Linked DNA regions of Tribolium castaneum. The protein of the gene in region 1 purifies or fractionates together with the protein of each later gene. This does not show direct contact. Links are inferred from orthologs where the notes say so. Each region holds a gene or a part of one and is shown in the gene's direction. Other genes may lie near its edges. The genes, in order: PolE1, Ciao1 and Mms19.

Evidence for each region.
Region 2: the proteins of PolE1 (region 1) and Ciao1 purify together in Homo sapiens (affinity purification with western blotting; 3 studies listed by BioGRID, with this or other methods). This does not show direct contact. The link is inferred for Tribolium castaneum from reciprocal best matches to the Homo sapiens genes POLE and CIAO1.
Region 3: the proteins of PolE1 (region 1) and Mms19 purify together in Homo sapiens (affinity purification with western blotting; 3 studies listed by BioGRID and IntAct, with this or other methods). This does not show direct contact. The link is inferred for Tribolium castaneum from reciprocal best matches to the Homo sapiens genes POLE and MMS19.

Annotation. Positions count from the first base shown.
Region 1 is NC_087396.1:21,696,103-21,699,755, reverse strand, and holds part of PolE1 (DNA polymerase epsilon catalytic subunit 1), read left to right. Parts: coding exon 1-90; intron 91-1,579; coding exon 1,580-2,789; intron 2,790-3,653. UniProt on the Homo sapiens protein: Catalytic component of the DNA polymerase epsilon complex. Participates in chromosomal DNA replication.
Region 2 is NC_087395.1:25,661,316-25,664,796, reverse strand, and holds Ciao1 (probable cytosolic iron-sulfur protein assembly protein Ciao1), read left to right. Parts: upstream 1-1,490; 5' UTR 1,491-1,636; coding exon 1,637-2,269; intron 2,270-2,315; coding exon 2,316-2,837; 3' UTR 2,838-2,851; downstream 2,852-3,481. Other genes in the region: pkaap (A-kinase anchor protein 10, mitochondrial), read right to left, coding at 1-1,100, 1,144-1,227, 1,280-1,307. UniProt on the Homo sapiens protein: Key component of the cytosolic iron-sulfur protein assembly (CIA) complex, a multiprotein complex that mediates the incorporation of iron-sulfur cluster into extramitochondrial Fe/S proteins.
Region 3 is NC_087400.1:4,137,459-4,141,796, reverse strand, and holds the start of Mms19 (MMS19 nucleotide excision repair protein homolog), read left to right. Parts: upstream 1-1,528; 5' UTR 1,529-1,597; coding exon 1,598-1,685; intron 1,686-1,730; coding exon 1,731-1,933; intron 1,934-1,980; coding exon 1,981-2,161; intron 2,162-2,204; coding exon 2,205-2,410; intron 2,411-2,459; coding exon 2,460-2,603; intron 2,604-2,653; coding exon 2,654-3,764; intron 3,765-3,809; coding exon 3,810-3,931; intron 3,932-3,985; coding exon 3,986-4,086; intron 4,087-4,135; coding exon 4,136-4,280; intron 4,281-4,325; coding exon 4,326-4,338. Other genes in the region: GCS1 (mannosyl-oligosaccharide glucosidase), read left to right, coding at 1-1,361. UniProt on the Homo sapiens protein: Key component of the cytosolic iron-sulfur protein assembly (CIA) complex, a multiprotein complex that mediates the incorporation of iron-sulfur cluster into apoproteins specifically involved in DNA metabolism and genomic integrity.

The DNA of each region.
Region 1 (3,653 bases):
GAAGAAGGCGCTGGTTGTGGTCGTTGATACGGTCAAGACCAACTTGATGCCGAATTTGAACAAGTTGTACCAAGCCGAACGAATGGCAAAGTGAGTACTGGATTTACAAAGTGGCTTATCAGCTCTTTCAAAACTATAAAAATATAAACTATAAAGATTGATAAAAACGCAAAATAGTCATTAATGATTAGTTCTCTCATTGAAACTTTAAACTAGATTTACTAAAAATTTCTAGGGTTAAAACAAAAAAAAACAATCTTCACATTTTTATTTTTATTTAATACACTATCGGACAAAAGTAAGGCAACATTTTGAAAAATATAGAAATTAATGTCTATCTAATGTAAATAAATTATGATCGGGCAAACTATGGTATTGTTAAAAGAATCAAAGGAAGCTACTGTCATTAATGTCAAGTAATTATTTATTAAGGTTGAAAAAAACCGCTTTGTTGACTTGTAGTGTAAAAAAGGATTATTTTAAGACGACAAAAGTAAGGCAACATTTAGATTTTTTTCAAAAAATGTTGTTATAATGAAAAATTTGTTAGGCCAATATTAACAGTTCGTCTTGCGCAACAAGAGCCATGCCAACGGGTACACCAATTGGTAAAGAGTTGAAAGAAAGAGTGATCGATGCTTTCTTAAACAATGAAAAACAAGCGGATATTGCAAGAAGATTTCAACTGCCTAGATACAGCGTGTCTAAAATAATTATTCGCTACAACGAAAGAGGACATTTAAACAATAATCCAAAATCGGGACGACCACGAAAAACCACTATAAACATGGACAGACGCATTAAAAGAATTTCGGAAAACGATCCATGGAAATCTGCATCTAAAATTATAGCGGAAATACCGGAAGTAGGAGTTAGTACACGAACAATTCAAAGAAGACTGGTTGCAGCAAAGCTTTTTAGTAGACGTCGTGCTAAAAAACCTTTGATTTCAGAAAGAAATAGACGCGCCAGACTTCAATTTGCAAGAAAACATTTGAATTAGACAAAGCAAGATTGGAGGAAAGTTCTTTGATAGATAAAATCAAGGAAGTGTGGTCAAATCTGGATGAAAATGTTATTCAAAAATTAATTTCTTCAATGCCCAGACGGTGCCAAAAAATTTTACTTAATAACGGCTATGCCATAAATTATTGAATTTTTCGTTCTATTTATTTAAACTTTAGTGTTGGGTAGTGTTATGTAAATGTTGAATCAAATAAAATTTGAGTTGAAAATATTTTCTGACAATGTTGCCTTACTTTTGTCGCATTAATATCGGGCTTTTTTATATTTCAAGCTAGTAGTATGTCATAATAATTACCCATAGGCTATCCATTTTCAACACGAATAAGAATATCTTTAAACGTTTATTATAAAATTAAATTGAAGGTAAATACCAACTCTTAAAATTTAAAATACCAATATTTGTATATTTTTCAACATGTTGCCTTACTTTTGTCCGATAGTGTATTTTTATTAAATAAAAAATAAACAAAATTAAATACATAAAAAATTTTATTAAATAAAATAAACTTCACATGCCACTGACCGCACTTTGATATTAAATAATGATTCATAGGAAGGAAAAGGGCACCGAGGACGACTCGCTCCCGCCCGCCAGCGTCACGTTCGAAATCCGCGTCGAGAGCGACCTTGGCCAGGTCTACAAAACCCTGCAAAAAGCCCTGCAGTTCTACAAGGACGAAAAGAAAGGTCCAACCCTCCTTGCCGTCCAATCGGCCCTTGAACCGGCAACACTGCGTTCGCGCATCCCCCTATTTTCGGACTTCCCCCAAGTGCAAATCCACATCACCGACGAGGAGGAGCTGTACAACGTGATGGACTGGCAGAAAATTGGCGGCCGTGCCCTCGTCCGCCACTATCTCAACAGCGAAAAAGTGCTCGACTTGATGATCGAGCAAAGTCGGTACTTCCACCTCCCGGTCGGTAACATGCCCCCGGACCCGGCCCTCTTCGGTTCTGATCTCTTCTACGCCCGACACTTAACCAAACACAACCACGTGTTGTGGTGTTCGCCAACCGACAAGCCCGACTTGGGCGGCGTTGAAGAAAACGACTCGCGATTGTTGGCCGAGAACCAGGAGGGTTCGAGCGAGGTGTGCAATGTACCAGGGTGGTACTCGAGCGTTTGCATCGAGTTGGACGTTGATTGCTTGGCGATTAATACGCTCCTGCAGTCGCACCACGTGACTGACATCGAGGGCACTAGCAGCGCTACGGCGTTTGATGGAGTTGGGGCCACCTCATTGGACGATTTAGTCGGAGATAACCCGACGGTTTACGACGAAACGGCGCGGTGTGCCGAAGCGTTTAAGATTTTGCGCACGATGGCCAGTATTTGGATGCGGGATATTTCGCTCTATCAGAACATTTTCGCCGATTTTCAAGTCGTTCATTTCTATCGGTGGTTGCGGGCGCCTAAAGCCCTGCTTTACGATCCGGCTTTGTTGCGGACGTTGCAGAATTTGATGAAGAAGTTGTTCTTGCAGCTCGTGGCCGAGTTTAAGCGGCTGGGGTGTACGATTATTTACGCGAATTTTAACAAGATTGTCATCTGTTCGAAGAAGAAGAGTGTGGAGGACGCGATGGAGAATGTTGAGTTTGTGGTCACGTCGATTAGGAATAAGGAGCTGTTTCATTCGTTGGACATTTCGTTTAGGCAGTGTTGGGAGACTTTGGTGTGGCTGGATCCGGCCAATTATGCGGGGGTTCAGGGGAAGTTGCCGGAGGACCTCAGAGAGGAGGGCAACGAAGAGGAAAAAGGTCAAGTAAGAGGTTTTTGTTGCTGTTTCGTCAGTCCGATTTTTTTATTTTAATTAAAAAAATACTGTTCCCGTCTAGGGAATTTTGTGTCAGTTGGTAACGGTACGTGTATTTCGGAAGTAAAATTACCGTTGGGGGCGCCACTGAGCTAGGTCGAAAACAGTAACCATAAATGGCGGGAAAATGTTTATTCGGATATTTTGAGCGTTGTACGAATTTTGGGGCTTCACAATTATTACATTGCCTATGCGGAATGATTATTGCATCTTTGATGCAAGAAACTTATGTTGATAAATGAGAGATGACGAGGAAAACACGAATAACGAATGACTGTTTGGTTCACTTTCTTTATTGAAAAATTATTACAAAGACATTGAAAAGCCTACCTTTTGGCATAATTTACGTTTAAATATATCAGCAGTTGTTAATCTTTATTGTAGTTTTGTAGATTTACCGCAGCATTTCATGATTTTTTCAGTGGAAAATTCTAACCTAAAATTCATAACACTTCACTAATTTATTGGTTTCTTGAGCCAAACTTTGTGTTCGCTGTGATCCATTACTTATAATCTTTAATTAGACAACTGTTTGATAACACTTTGTAATCAAAATTTAAATTATTTTATCCACTTTCAAGTTCCAACAATAAACACTTTATACCACGAAAAACTACAGAACCAAAGTCAACGTTAGGATTTACCACCACGTACTTTTAAAGTAATTCTTTCTATTGTAAGTAATTAACACTATACACGCAAAATTGTTGAACAATTCATTAAATGTCAGTTAAATGTGGCATTACTAAAATTTCTTTACTGTTTTCGGCATAGTTCAAAAGTCATCACCAGAGGGCGTCTAGTTAATTTTAT
Region 2 (3,481 bases), on another chromosome or scaffold:
GATCCTCCCACAGGATAATCTGTGCGTTCGTCTCCTCTTCCAGAGCGAATCGGGGTCGCACAACTGCCTCGTGTCGATACTCATATCTGCGTTTTTATCCTTCTTTTTACAATTATTATTATTAAAGTTTAACTCTAACGCTAGAAATGCGCTATTTGTACTGAAACTCTTCTCGCTGCTGCAATCGGACGAAAGCGTCCGATTATTCTCGAGATTAAAATAATCGTTAGACTGAACGGTGTTTATCAACTCGGACAGATATTTGCAAAATAACTGTGACTCCAAAAACGGTTTGAGATAGTTTTTCTCCAACACTTGTTCGACGATTTTCAAGGGCAACTTGAAACAATCCAAGACAAGTCCGTTCTCCCCGCAAATATTTTGTTCGATTTCGAAGCGAACTTTATCGCCGAAACCCAACGGACAATGGGCTTGCAGCGAAAAATACTTATCGTAGAGCACAACAGCGTCATTTTGGGCCTCAATTGGGTCAAAAAACTCCTTTTGATTGGTCAAATGTTGCTGCAAGTTGGTGGCAGCGATCCAGAACTCCAACAAATTGCACGAATTCTCCTGTTCGAGAAACTCCATAAAGTAGAAAAGCGCCGTTTCGTTGTAGAGAATATCGTCAAGGGCCACTTGGCCACTCGTCAAAACATCGATCTGGTATTTGCAGAAATAATCGCTGGCTAAAAACGCCTCAAAATACTCCTTCTCCATGACTTCGGTAACGAAACTCTGAACGGGGTCCAAACAACTGGCGATTTTCTCCAAGTCACAAATGTTTTCAACGAGTTCGTTACGAACTGACTCGGGGCATTTAACATTGTGAGCGGACTCCTGAGCTATGTACTTTTTAAAAATCGCAACAGCGCCCTCAACTAGACTAGATTCACACGAATCACTCGAATTTTGGGTGTCACTGGAGTCGCAATCCGTACTTATCTCACACTTAAACGACTCAATGTCCCCCCAACAATTGATAAATTTGGCGGCGTTTCGCGCCTCCATAAACTGGGTAAAGTAGCCCAGAGCCCCCTTATCGCCCAAAACCTCGTCCAAGGTCCGACATAGCCGTGACCTCGTTGCCTCAAACTCATCTTTAAGACACAATAACCCCAATTTCTACAATTTCGTACTCACCGATATCGAGGTCCAGAGGGGGCGGCTTCGGGGGCCGGGGCCGCGGCGTCACCGCTGGGGCTGCGCATTTCGTGTCATTGCCGGCTTTGGAAACACTAATTAGGAAAACCCAAACATCAATTACGAAATTACGCACCTTTTGATTTCCTCCAAAACTGTAACATGGTTCATCGTAATGATGGGTTGTGGGGGCGGGGGCGAGTCCGATCAACCCAACAGTGCCAAGAGGCCCCAAAACACCCACAAAACCGATTGTTTTGATAAACAAAGTTGATTGTGATTCACGGCACAAAAAATGTAAACGTCAAATGAGGCTGGCCACACCGACGGCAAAAAAAAACAAAAATCGCACATTCAACCACGAAAAAAAAATTCAAAATTAAGCGAACAATTAATTTAGAAGAAACATAATTGATTTTGCACTTAAGTACGCAATTTTATTGGTAAATAATTGCAAAAAAACGCAATAATAATCATGCGTTGGCTGCATTGAATGACAGTGCGGCCAACTCAACGAAGCAAAAACGTAATAAAATCACCCATTTTTTCACGTTTTGTGGCATTGGTAAGCCCCTTAAGTACATTTGCCCCCTTTTGGCACGTCGTGCGTCCCCCGAGACCACTTTTTAACCACCCTGTCGTTGTTCGCGACCCTAACCCCAAAATGTCAAAGCTTGAGCCCCTTCAAACTTTATGCAAGCACACGGGGCGCGTTTGGGACGTGAGTTGGCACCCGAAGGGGCAAACGTTCGCCTCGTGTGGCGAAGACAAGACCATCCGAATCTGGTCGAAAGACTCGGACTCGAAGTGGTCGAATAAAGTAATTCTAACCGATGGCCACAAACGCACAATTCGGGAAATTGCGTGGTCCCCCTGTGGCAATTACCTCGCCTCGGCCTCCTTTGACACCACTACGTGCATTTGGGACAAGAAATCGGGCGAGTTCGAGTGCAATGCCACTCTTGAGGGGCACGAAAATGAGGTTAAGAGTGTTTCCTGGTCGAAGTCGGGGCGATTTTTGGCCACTTGTAGCCGTGACAAGTCGGTTTGGATTTGGGAGATTGCCGAGGAGGATGAGTATGATTGCGCGGCCGTGTTGAGTGCGCACACACAGGATGTGAAGAAAGTAGGTAGCAAGGGGGCGATTTTTGTTGTTATGGAGGTTGTTGCAGGTCGTGTGGCACCCACATGACGATATCCTCGCCTCGGCCTCCTACGACAACACGGTTAAGTTGTTCAAAGAGGACCAGTCAGACAACGACTGGGTTTGTTTTGCCACCTTACAGGGGCACGAGTCAACGGTTTGGAGCATAAGTTGGGACAAAACGGGGACAAGGATTGTGTCGTGTAGCGACGACGCCACGTTGAAAATCTGGCAAAAGGGCCAAAATACGGAGGAAACGTGGAAATGTGTGTGTACCATGTCGGGGTACCACAACAGAACCATCTATGACGTGTCTTGGAACCACTCAAGTGACTTGATCGCCACCGCTTGCGGTGACGACGCTATCAGAATTTTTAAAGAGGAGGAAGGGGGCGACTTAGAGGCCCCCACGTTTAGCCAAGTCACCTGCATTGAGAGGGCGCACGCCCAGGATGTCAACTGCGTCGCCTGGAACCCCCTTCTTAGTGATATTTTAGTGTCGTGCAGCGACGACGGGGAAATTAAATTGTGGAAATTTATCCCTGAATAAAATTGTTTGACGTTCCTTTGTTTTTCTTTGATGGATAGGCGGCTGTTTATGTCAATTGTTTACAATTGAACGTCACAGCCTACTGTCGCCCATCCATTGAGATTACTTTTTCGTTCCACAGATGTTAATAAGACGGTTGGCGGCCCTAAGTCGGATTAAAAATTACTACAGCACGGGCCCCCAAATGTCGGTCAAAGAAATCGTCAAAACTTTACAATCCTACGCCCCCTTGACCCTTGCCGAGAGCTGGGACAATGTGGGGCTCCTGGTGGACCCAATGACCGACAAACAGGTCAAAACAATTCTATTAACAAACGACCTCACTGAGGATGTGGTCAATGAAGCTAAAAACTTCCAAGCGGGGCTCATTATCTCCTATCACCCTAATATCTTTCAAGGCCTTAAAACAGTCTCTGACAAGTACGCCCCAAATTACACAGCCAATCAAAACTAATCGTTTTGTCACAGGACTTGGAAAGAACGAATCGTAATCCAATGTATTAGACATGAAATTGCGGTTTACTCGCCCCATACGAGCTGGGATTGTGTCGAAGGGGGCGTTAATGATTGGCTAGCCTCAGCGTTCGCTTTTAAAAACATTGCGCCAATCAAACCATTGGAAAATCCGAGACAAGGGGCGGGGC
Region 3 (4,338 bases), on another chromosome or scaffold:
TGACCTTCGCCCAATCGGCCCTCAGTAACATGCTGGGAGGCATCGGCTATTTTTACGGCACTTCCAAAGTGCAAAGTTTCTACACCAAAGAACCGGTGCACTATTGGCACGCCCCCTTATACACAGCAGTCCCGTCTCGAAGTTTTTTCCCTCGTGGTTTTCTATGGGACGAAGGTTTCCATGGCTTTCTGATCGCAACGTGGGACCTTGACCTTGAACTTGACATTATCAGTCATTGGTTCGATTTGATGAACGTTGAAGGGTGGATCCCCCGTGAACAAATCCTGGGTGTTGAAGCTATAGCGAAAATACCCGAAGAATTTATCGTCCAACGAAATACTAACGCAAATCCGCCGACTTTCTTCCTCACGTTGCAATACATTTTGCGTAAATATTACGATAAGTTGAGCGAGGGACGTTTGGCAACACTGGAACGGTTGTATCCAAGGTTACAGGCGTGGTTTGCATGGTTTAATACCACGCAAAAAGGGGCGGGGCCTGGCATGTACCGGTGGAGGGGGCGTGACGCAACAACCAATCGTGAGCTGAATCCGAAAACTTTAACTTCGGGCCTTGACGATTATCCACGAGCGTCACATCCGACCGAAGCCGAATACCACGTCGATCTATACTGTTGGATCGCCATAGCTAGTGATACTTTAGCAAGGTTGGCAACACTGTTGGACCGTGATGGGTATAAATACGAACAAACTGCCGATTATTTGAAAGACAATTTCCTATTGGATAATTTACATTGGTCTAATTACGCATCGCGTTACGCCGATTATGGTTACCACACTGATTCTGTTAAATTAAAACGACCGAAACCGTTACCAAGGTCACAAAACCAAAACATGGAGATGGTGCGTGTGACCTTGAAAAATCCCGAATACCGATTGGTCGACTCGACTTTCGGTTACGTCAGTTTGTTTCCGTTTTTGTTACAAATGATTGATTCGGATTCGTTGAAATTGGGCCAGATTTTGGATGACCTTCGAAATCCTGACTTGTTATGGACGAAGTTTGGTCTAAGATCACTGTCCAAAAATTCACCCCTGTATATGAAACGCAACACCGAACATGATCCGCCATATTGGAGGGGCCAAATTTGGATAAATATCAATTTTCTAGCAGTCCGGTCCTTGTATTTCTACGCCAATACGGAGGGGCCCTATCGGGATAAAGCCAACGCGATTTATAAAGATTTGCGGGAAAATGTGATTAAAAACGTGATGACGCAATATTTCAAAACGGGTTATCTGTGGGAACAGTATAATGACGAAACGGGGGAGGGGAGTGGCTGTAGGCCTTTTACGGGCTGGACGGCCCTGGTTGTATTACTTATGGGCGAGCAATACTGAGTCAATAAAAATCTAAGTACGGTCCTGTGTTTTATTTAAAAATTAAAAATAAAACCCGCGCTATACGGAAGTTTAAGGGTCGGTTTACAGAAGCGTCATTAACTTAATCTGCAATTAAATGCGTCATTAATTTAATCTGCAATTAAATGCGTAATTTTTTGAAATTTGAAAATGAAGGTTATAGTAGGTTATTTGGGGCATGCGTGGTCAATTATCATCTGTCAAAAAGTTTGGTTATGATGGCTTCGAATTTGGCCAAAAATTTCGAAAATGTTACAATAGATGACCAAGAATTTGCCGAAAAATGCCACGAATTGGCCCAAGGTACGTACAAGTGGCCCCACATTGTGACATAACCTCAACTTTCAGCACTTGAATCGGGTCAAGTGACCTTGTTACGCCTTGTCGAGGACCTAGGGGGGCTCCTTATCGATACGAGCCCCAAGGGGCGCGAGCTGGGCATGTGGGTGTTGACACGTGTCGTCGAGACTTTGCCCCCCGATGTTTTGGACGAAAATCAATTAAAATTTTTAAATCAGTTTTACACGGACCGGCTTAAGGACAATCATTTTGTATGTCAGTCCAGGGGCTACTGTTTTTTAACTGAGGGCGATTTTAGGTGTTACCGGCCGTTTTGCGCGGTTTTCTCGCCTTAATTCGGTGCGAGGGGGCCCCGAAAGGGGGCCCTGGCCCTTTTCTCGTCCAACTCTTCCACAATGTCTCGTGCCAACAACAACAAGAAAACGACAGATTAGCAATTTATCAAATTTTCGAGACTTGTTTGGAGAAATTTTGGCCAGGTTTGGGCCCCCTTTTAAAATTCAATATCAGTCTTTTTTCCAGAATTGGATGAAATGGGGCCCGACTTTGTCTACGGTGTTATTTCGGCGGTTGATGGCGAACGCAGCCCCAAAAACCTGATTTTTCTCTTTGATTGGTTTCCGAAATTTTTACGAAAAGTCAAATTGGGGCACCTGGCTGAGGACGCTTTCGAAATCCTGGCGTGTTATTTCCCTGTTGATTTTAGGGCTCCGCCACAGGACGAAAACGTGCCCACTTTGTCCCCATTAAACGACAATCAATAATAATTTTTTACAGGGCATAACTCGAAATACCCTCGCTGAAAAGCTCGCCTTTTGCCTCGTTGCCGTTCCACAATTTGCCGAATTCTCCCTTCAATTAGCGTTAGAAAAATTCGATTCTTCGCTTGAAATTGCTAAATTGGATTCGTTACGACTTATTGTAAGTGGTTTTTTTTGTAGCGGACCGCAGACTAAACACCAAACTTGTAGGAACTATCATTTGTTACTTTTGATATTTCACCAACCACAGTATGGCCACTCATACAAAAAGAACTGTTCCAAACGACAAATCCAGCAATTGAAAAAGCCTGTTTAACAACAATGACAGCTGTTATTAAGCACACACGTGACCCAAATTTGACAGAAACGGTCAAAGATATCTGCGATACAATCAAAGGAAATTTTTTACCCGACTCAAAATTATTCCAACCGTCGGCACGTTTGATAATCAGTGTTGCCAACGCATCGGACAGCGTTGCCAACCTCGTAGCGCGTGAAACCGTCCCCATATTAACAAACATGTATAATATAGCCAACACAACGGCTGAAAAAACACCATTTTTGCGCCTACTAACCGACTTGTATGCACTTGCCAGCGATTTAGAAAATCTCGGGGAAGTACCGGTTTTACTTGTAAAATCTGACTCACCAATCGCTTTTGATTGTTTACGTGACATTTCGCCGAAACTACCCGAAAAAATCCGACTTTTACTTTACCAAAACTACGTCAAGTTGTTACAAGTGCCACAAGAAGGCGCTGTCTTACAATGTCTTGAAGCTTTAGCACGGGATTACCCGAACGAAGTGGCTACGCACGTGGTCGGTAATACAGAAAACTATACTCCATGTTTTCTAGACGCCTTGTGTGTGACTTTGGCAAATCAAAAATTTTTCACGGCCCATTTAATCGATTTAATTTTGAAAAATTGTGCAATAAAAACATTACAAAAAGTTTTAATCAAATTTGACGATTGTGACGCGATTTTTGACGTTTTAAACGCACAAAATATCACCCATGTGTTGATCGAGATGGCTTTGACTGGTGATACGTGTCACGAAACGATTGCATTTGTTTTGAAAATTGTGATTGGTCGAATGTCGAGCGAAAAACAAAATGAAATGATTCGAAACGAATTAAGTCGAATTAAGATTGAGGATATTTTTTTACTAAGCGGGATCTTGACTTGTTTAAGGCGCGATGTTGTAATTAATTACGAAATTTTAAGCGAATTAATTGAATTTATAATTAGGGAGAGGGATAATTTGAGACGTAACGCAGCTATAGAACTGGTTGCAAATATTTTGAACAAATGTCCCAATGGTAATTTAATTCCGTGTTTTAATTAATTATTACAATTAATTGTAGATGATGTAATTAGGGAATTTTTGGAACGGGTTGACACTAAAACCGACCCCATTCTTACGTCATGGCTCACCAAGGCCTTAATTATGCGTAATCACGAATTAGGCACATTCTGGACCACAAAAGTAGGCAATTAATTGCGTTAGCTCAGTCGTTAATTAATTAATTTTCCGCCTTAGTTAATCGATTATTTGGATAAAGATGAAAGTATAGCTCCGTGTTTTCGCACAATTATGTCCAATTCGGAGTCTTTAAGTACCAAAAGTCATTGCAATGTTGCGTAAGTTGATAATTTAGCACTTAAATAATTTTAATTAAATAACTTGTAGATTTTTGTACCAGCAGAAGTTTTTTACGATAGTTACGAATAAATTAAGTGCGAATTACAGTCCAGACAAGAATTCGTATTTATCAGGCCTTGGATATTTACTAGAGTTCGCACCAAAACCGGCCGTTTTAGTCCAATTTAGAAAAGTAATAATTTCAAATTGAATTTAACCAATTAATTTAATTTTGTAGATTTCGAAATTAA